Coturnix japonica: one gene and its partner. The protein of the gene in region 2 purifies or fractionates together with the protein of the main gene of each other region. This does not show direct contact. Links are inferred from orthologs where the notes say so. Each region holds a gene or a part of one and is shown on either strand. Other genes may lie near its edges.

Region 1 (3,811 bases), on a different chromosome or scaffold from region 2:
AACTACAGCTTCCCTGATAAGGTCACTTACCTACACACCAAGCAGCTTTTGTAGCTGAGGGAGGGTAGCAGCCTGGGCTAGGCCTGGGCTTGGAGAATATGCCCTACAAGGAGCTACTAAAGGAACCGGGGCTGTTTAGTCTGGGGAAAAGGAGGCTGAGGGGAGACCTTATTGTTCTCTTCCAATACCTGAAAGGTGACTGCAGTGAGAGGGACTGGTCTCCTCTCACTTTTGACAGGAAGAGGGGAAATGGCCTCAAGTTGTGTCAGGGGAGGTTTAGGTTGAATATCAGGAAAAACTTTACAGAAAGTGTTGTTAAGCACTGGAATGGGTTCTCCATGGAGGTGGTTGAGTCAGCATGACTGACTGTTTAAAAACCGTCTTGATGTGGTGCTCAGGAACAAGACTTCGCGGAGAGCTGTTAGAGTGAGGGTAATAGTAATAATAGTAATAGTAATAGTATCGTGCGGGTTGGAAGGGACCTTAGAGATCATCGAGTCCAACTCCCGGGATTCGAGCCTCTGTGCTGCAGAGCGGCACTTCTACCACTTGCACCACAGGGGGGATTCGAACCCCGGGCCCAGGGTAGTATGGTCAGGTTGCGGTTGGACCTGATGATCTTTAAGGTCTTTTCCAACCTGAGCAATTCTGTGATTCTCTGATTCATCTGACAGTGATACTCCACCAGATCATTGTGCTGCGCCCAAATCAGAGCCCGCAGCCGCATCAATCTGCAGCTCCAAACATCCACTACCGGTGCCAAACTCACCTGGCCACTAGATCTCACTGAGAACTTTAGCAAATAAGTTCTGTTTTCTAGTCAGACACTGACTACACTGGACTATTTAATCTCCTTTAATTTTACCAGACTTATTCTATGTCCCTTGGAAACATCCTTCTTTTCAGATGACTCCTGACGGGCTTATTTTATGTGCCTGATGGGCAAGATGGGCTTGCTTTTAAGTGTACAATTTCTTCCAACCTAACACTGAGAGAAAGAATATGGTCTTTCACGTTAGAAAATAAACCTAAACGAGTCCTCGGATACATATCCCCATTAATGCTGTGATTTGTGCTAGTGAATTCCTGCTTGGTTAAGCAATAATTTTCTTCCTTCTCCTCTCCAAGATGCAGTTAGGGCCTGCCACACACCATCTGCATCTTAGCCTTAACTGTGGGATAGCTGCAGGGCTCAGGGAACCCCTGGGCTGAATCAGAAGCCCTGGAGGTACTCCCACCTGCAGCTATAGAAGCCACACAAACACACACAAAAAGAAGACAAGCAGAAAGACAAATGTTCATGATATGTTTCTTGAAAGATGGGTGGGCATCAGGAGAGCCCCTCCAGATGGACTGCTAAACCACAGCTCTGCCCCACAGCCTGATGGAATGGTGTTTCTATTGCAGATCATCACCCCGAGGCAGGCTGAAGCTGCTGCATTCTGTTGCTAGTGTAAGAAGAACTGTACACTTCCTCTAAATGCCCCAGCTCAGTCAGAATACTTCAGTGCTCTTCAGACAGAGGCACCTGACAGCAAATACACCATGTTGCCCACAGTCACTGCAAGTGCTGTCCCGCCTGCGTGTCTGTACCTAAGGAAAGCTGACTGTGGCAGAGAGAAGCATTTGGAAATACCTCAGAAGGTTGTTGTCTGCCTAAGACAGTACTTTCCTATCATCAAAAGAGTGTGCATCATCTCTCCTTCTTCTTTCCTACCCTTTATTCAATTCAGCAGTGAGAACAAAAACCATTTGATCCAGGCAATTACACATGGTGTACCCTAGGCCAGGCCCAGGCACACGCTCTTACCTTGGCTGTGATTGAAACTTTGTTTTCTTGCAAGTTAGAAATAGCTTCAGAGATCCTCATGTGAATAGTCCCTATTACTGTGTCTACATTGTATGGTCCATCAATCCGATCAGCCACAGCAACCAGCGCATCTGGTAAAATAACACAGAGACATCCCTTCATCAGACAAACCATGTTAAAGCTCATGCTCATGCTGGGTGCACTACAGGGTTGGCCTCTTGGAAGATCTGCTGGAGGATATCTCTCCATTTTCACTGCTTTTTAAACCTATGCTCATTATCCTCCAGAATGGCACAGCTGTCTAAAGGGTGGATGTGGTGCCAAAGGTACTGGATGGGAGCAACAGCTTCTGAGGCAGCGAAAGAGCAAGAAAAAGGAAATATCATGTACTAAGGGCAAAAGAGCAGACTGTGAAGCCCACAACTAAACTGATCAGTGGGACTGAGTGTGACTGAGGACATGCCTATTGCTCTCAGCTCCTCCTATCTTGTAAAGCTCTGCTCTCCAAGTGCTCCTGCCTGACCTGGAGGTGCCCGCCACCATGGCTGTTTTGGGACTGTGTTTTGGGACTATAACCAGCCTCTGCCTATGGAGAAGATTTTCAGTGCTCTGTGGGTCTGAAGGAAAGACAGACTGTGTGCACACAGGTCATGGGGCACTGGGGAATGCCACACGTAGGAAAGCTGATCTCCTTGGCTGATCTCCAGCCAGAGTTAAGCAGGAGCTTTGGACAGGTCTCAGACACCTAAATTAGGTTTGTAACCAGGGCTGGCTTTGTCAGTCAAAATAGCCGCTGCAGAGCTGCTGCCGCCTCAGTTTTCTACCATCTCTGTTCCAAGCAGCCTGAAGGCCAGACCATGAGGATTTAGGGACTTGGCAGCTCCTTGTGACCTCAGATGACTCCCGTGTGGTCTTGCATTCCGCAGGACACACCAAATGCTTCCTGGCAGGGGAAGAGATGTAGCAGAGAGCAGGGGTGGCTCTCGCTCATATAGAACAGAAAGTACCTCATGTTCCTGCGGCTTCTCCATATGGAAGAAAACACCTGTGATGTTGATTTTCCTTCTCTGCACAAAGGGGGTCAAATCCCAGGGTCCAGGCTGAAGAACTCATTCTTTAGCAGAGATTAATTTTCTATCCTAGATCCTAATACCTTCCCCATCAGTCTGGCAGGAGACTGTCACAGCAGATGGTGTGATGCTGCAGAAAGCTTATTCTGCACATGTTCGTTGTGCTGATATTCATGAGCAAGGAAACCACCAGGTGAGCTGTGCCCAGCAGTTCAGCAGGGCATCAGTAGAACACACCATTCTACACCATCCCATAGCACGCAGTGCCACTCAGCTGCACAATAGGATTTCCTGTGAGCAGGGGTCCACCCAGCCAGGGCACAAATGGGGACCAACATCACTTCAAACGTGTATTCAGTCCCTTGTCTGTGCAAAGCAGTAGGAGTTGGCAGAAAGGCCCCAGATGCCTTCCATGAGGTCCTGCAGACACTGTGCAGAGGCAGTAGGTCCACAGTGGAAGCACAATGTTAACAAGGATGGCCTGATCCTGAGTCCACTGCTGTCAATGTAACAGCATGCACAGCCCTCAAAAATATGTTCTCTTTGATACTGCATGGCTAATGTTCAGGTCCTGACTGCTCCCACTGAATGAGCATCCTGGGCAAGTACTACAGAAGGGATAGCACAAATCCACAGAAGATACCAGATCATGCCCATGCAGGGCACAGTCTGTGCTCTGCTCTGTCATATAGGATTTAACAGCATGCACAGTCACACCTAAAGCTAAACATGCCATGTGAGTTGTTATGTTTTCGTGTTCTGTGAAATAGCATCTCCTGTAACATCACAGAGCTTGCAGTTCAACTTTGCTGCCACAGAGGGGTTGCAGTGTCATCTACAAGACTCTATTTTCAGGCAATTACAGTCTGCGGATCCACTAATGCTGTGATAGATATTTAAATCAAAGGCTGCATCCCCAAATTAGTGATAA
Region 2 (4,583 bases):
GGACACCTTGTGAGTCCCAAAGACAAAGGTGTCCCCACCCAGGGGGGCAGGAACACTGAGGTGCTATGAGAGCAGCTCAAGGACATAGAGACAACCCTCAACTCAAGGACACAAGGACAGCCCCCAACAGGGGGGGATCCCTCCAAAGGGGTTGTCCAGAGTCTCAAAGGTGAGATCATGGGACGGCAGCTCCCTCAAGGAGGCACACACCTAACAGTGTCCCCCCCATACAGGGGGGGCCTCACCACATACCTCAGCAACTCCCATCCCCACCAGCCCCCATAGTGCCACATACAGATCCACCCCGCCCTCGTGCCTGGACACACCACTTCACAACCCCTTTACCTTTAATAAATCCTCAATGAGGCCCTCACCCAGTGCAATATGTGGCCTACGACCCCCCCACCCCTTATACATCCCTCTACTGACCCCAACACAACACCATTCCCCCTTTGGTGTCACCTCCACACCTCATCACACTGTACCCTTCACAACACCATCCCTACGACCCTTTACCCCTCACAAACCCCCTCCATTGACACCTTTAAATGTGAATACACCTACAGCCCCTTCACAACACCATCCCTACAACCCTTTAACCCAAATAAACCCCCTCCAATGACACCTTTATATATGGATACACCTACACCCTTCACAACACCATCCCTACGACCCTTTACCCCTCACAAACCCACCATTGACACCTTTCTATATGGATACACCCACAGCCCCTTCACAACACCATCCCTACGACCCATTACCCCACATAAACCCCCTCCATTGACACCTTTATACATGAATACACCTACAGCCCCTTCACAACACCTTTGTGTTTTGTTGTAAAGGGTCCTTATGACCCTTTACCCCTCACAAACCCCCTCCAATGACACCTTTATATATGGATACACCTACAGCCCCTTCACAACACCATCCTTACAACACTTTACCCCTCACAAACCCCCTCCATTAACACCTTTGTATATGAATACACCTACAGCCCCTTCACAACACCATCCCTACGACCCTTTACCCCACATAAACCCCCTACATTAACACCTTTATATATGGATACACCTACAGCCCCTTCACAACACCATCCCTACGACCCATTACCCCACATAAACCCCCTCCATTGACACCTTTATAAACGGATACAACTACAGTCCCTTCACAACACCATCCTTATGACCCTTTACCCTTCACAAACCCCCTCCAATGACACCTTTATACATGAATACACCTACAGCCCCTTCATAACACCACCCCTACTACCCTTTACCCCACATAAACCCCCTCCAATGACACCTTTATATGTGGATACACCTACAGCTCCTTCACAACACCATCCCTACGACCCTTTACCCCTCACAAACCCCCCACCATTAACACGTTTATATATGGATATACCTACAGGCTTCACAACACCATCCCTATGGCACTTTACCTTTCACAAACCCCCTCCAATGACACCTTTATATATGGATACACCTACAGCCCCATCACAACACCATTTCTACGACCCTTTACCCCTCACAAACCCCCCTTTATTAACACCTTTATATATGGATACACCTATAGCCCCTTCACAACACCATCCCTACGACCCTTTACCCCTCACAAACCCCCCTTTATTAACACCTTTATATATGGATACACCTACAGCCCCTTCATAACACCATCCCTACAACCCTTTACCCTTCACAAACCCCCTCCATTGACACCTTTATATGCGGATACAACTACAGCCCCTTCACAACACCATCCCTACGACCCTTTACCCCACATAAACCCCCTTTATATGTGGATACACTTACAGCCCCTTCACAACACCATCCTTACAACACTTTACCCCTCACAAACCCCCTCCATTAACACCTTTGTATATGGATACACCTACAGCCCCTTCACAACACCATCCCTACGACCCTTTACCCCACATAAACCCCCTCCATTAACACCTTTATATGTGAATACACCTACAGCCCCTTCACAACACCATCCCTACGACCCCTTACCCCTCACAAACCCCCCACCATTAACACCTTTAGATATGGATACACCTACAGCCCCTTCACAACAGCATCCCTAAAACCCTTTACCCTTCACAAACCCCCTCCAATGACACCTTTATATATGGATACACCTACAGCCTCTTCACAACACCATCCCTACAACCCTTTACCCCTCACAAACCCCCTTTATTAACACCTTTATATACAAATACACCTACAGCCCCTTCACAACACCATCCCTACAACCCTTTACCCCTCACAAACCCCCCACCATTAACACGTTTATATATAACCTACAGGCTTCACAACATCATCCCTATGTCACTTTACCCTTCACAAACCCCCTCCAATGACACCTTTATATAGGGATACACCTACAGTCCCTTCACAACACCATCCTTATGACCCTTTACCCCTCACAAACCCCCTTCAATAACACCTTTATATATGGATACACCTACAGCCCCTTCACAACACCATCCCTACGACCCTTTACCCCACATATACCCCCTCTATTGACACCTTTATACGTGGATACACCCACAGCTCCTTCACAACACCATCCCTACGACCCTTTACCCCTCACAAACCCCCTTTATTAACACCTTTATATATGAATACACCTACAGCCCCTTCACAAACCCCCTTATAAGCCCTCCACACCCCCCCCACATCCACCCACCCGTCATTTCAGCACTGCCCCCCACCTCACCGACCCCATTACCACACCAGGCTCCCCCCCACCCATATCTCACCCTCAGCTCCCTGTCGACGAGGCGGGTAATACTTGGTAGCGGCCGCGAAGCGCCCCAAGCTGCCCATAGCGCGCACTGCGGCCGCCATCTTGTTGCGCGCGAGGTCGAATGAGGGAGAGGCCGCCAAGGGAGGGGGGGCTTCGATCCGCCCTTGAGGCTGTCTACACTAGTGCCTGTCTCCGAGCACGATTTGGTTTTGATTCCCTCTCTATTTCATATTATCCATAAAGCTTTAGTGGCTGTAGGTGATAATGTAAAGGTGATATCAGTCTAGCGGAGGAAAAGGATGAAAGGGGGTGTGGGTGAGGCAGCCCTGGAGGCGGGGTGGGGGCCTTCATGAGGGCAGGCGGCGGCGCTGAGAGGACGGGGGTGCGCAGGAGGAGGTGGGAGATTGTTGGGTTTATGAGGGAAAATTGCGATTTAATGGGGGAAATAATGGTTTATGTGGGGAAATAGGGGCTTGTGTGGGTTAAACAGCGTGGAATGTGGGGGGGATTGGGATTAGTTGGCTTTTATGGGCATTTTGGGGGGGGGGTTATTTGGGGGTGAGGCCTAGGAGGGGTAAGGAAGTGATGTGTGTGGTGTTATATGTGTGTATATATGGGGGTGTAGGGGCTGCTATGCAAGCAAAGCAGGTTCTGGGTCTCTATGGGCATTGAGGTGTTTTATTGGGGTCCCTGAGGGTTCCTGGGAGGGAAAAAAGGGAAAAAAAAGAATAAAATAAGGTTTTTATGCGTTTGAGGCAATGAAATCCATGGGTGCTGTGCTTGCGTTGGGTTGGGTATGTGAGAACTGCTCTGGGATATCGGCAGAGGTATGAGGGAAGAGAGGGGAGGCAGAGAGGGAGAGAGAAGATAGATAGAGACAAGAGATAGATAGGATAGAGAAGGGAGGAGGTTTGGTTTATGGGGTCTTTATCTGTGTGAGGAGCTTGATATTGGTTTGTAGGATGCTGCTATAGCCAGAGAGAGTCATAGAACCTTTTAAATTGGAAGGGACCTTTAAAGAGAAGCGCTGAGTGGGATATTCTGCTTATTGTGTGGATGCCCAATGAGGGTTATTGGGGTTAAAGTTAAAGGCCGTGGTGTGAAATGGTGCCAAGGTGAGTGCGTCAGGAGGATCACACTGGTGGTGACGTTGGCTGGGCTCCGGGACGGTATTTCAAGGGGGAAGTGGTGGGATAGTTATTGAGGGGGGAAGCTAAAACTACCAGCTGCTGACAGATCAGAGCTGGGTCCTCCTGGAGATAAGTGTTAATTTACAGGGGTATTAGCAGGCCGCAGTCACAAGCCAGTCACTTCATCTGTTAGATGCTGTAACAGAAAGTAATCTCTGCTGCTCTTGGATCAGCTTCTGTTTCTTCCCTTTCTTTGGCTCTTGTGTGAAGCGAGCAGGTTATTTCCCTTGAAATTAATCCAGATAGGTCAGAGTGGATTATTAACAACCTTTTTCCACTTCTAGATATCAAAATGACTTCTATGCTGAGCCATACCGTCCGAAACCTCCCTGCTTCTTCAGCATGGGCCATCAGGGTCTGTAAGTATGTTTACATTTATCAGAACCTTGACGTGTCAGGTTGTTACCTGTGTTTAGGTTGGATGTTAGGGGGAAGTTCTTCACTAGGAGAGTGGTTAGGCCCTGGAACAGGCTGCACAGGGAGGTTGTGGATGCCCCGTTCTTGGAGGTGTTCAAGACCAGGTTGGACGGGGCCCTGGGCAACCTGATCTATGGGGTCTCTATGGGGATCTATGGGGTCTCCTGGGCAACCTGATCTAGTAAAGGTGTATGTTTGGTGGCCCTGCCAGGCAGGGGGGTT

The links.
Region 1: the proteins of HADHA (region 2) and GPC1 purify together in Homo sapiens (co-immunoprecipitation; 3 studies listed by BioGRID and IntAct, with this or other methods). This does not show direct contact. The link is inferred for Coturnix japonica from reciprocal best matches to the Homo sapiens genes HADHA and GPC1.

What each region holds. Positions count from the first base shown.
Region 1 is NC_029524.1:621,285-625,095, reverse strand, and holds part of GPC1 (glypican-1), read right to left. Parts: intron 1,942-3,811; coding exon 1,811-1,941; intron 1-1,810. UniProt on the Homo sapiens protein: Cell surface proteoglycan that bears heparan sulfate. Binds, via the heparan sulfate side chains, alpha-4 (V) collagen and participates in Schwann cell myelination.
Region 2 is NC_029518.1:95,817,328-95,821,910, forward strand, and holds the start of HADHA (trifunctional enzyme subunit alpha, mitochondrial), read right to left. Parts: upstream 2,900-4,583; 5' UTR 2,856-2,899; coding exon 2,768-2,855; intron 1-2,767. Other genes in the region: HADHB (trifunctional enzyme subunit beta, mitochondrial), read left to right, coding at 3,818-3,869, 4,229-4,303. UniProt on the Homo sapiens protein: Mitochondrial trifunctional enzyme catalyzes the last three of the four reactions of the mitochondrial beta-oxidation pathway.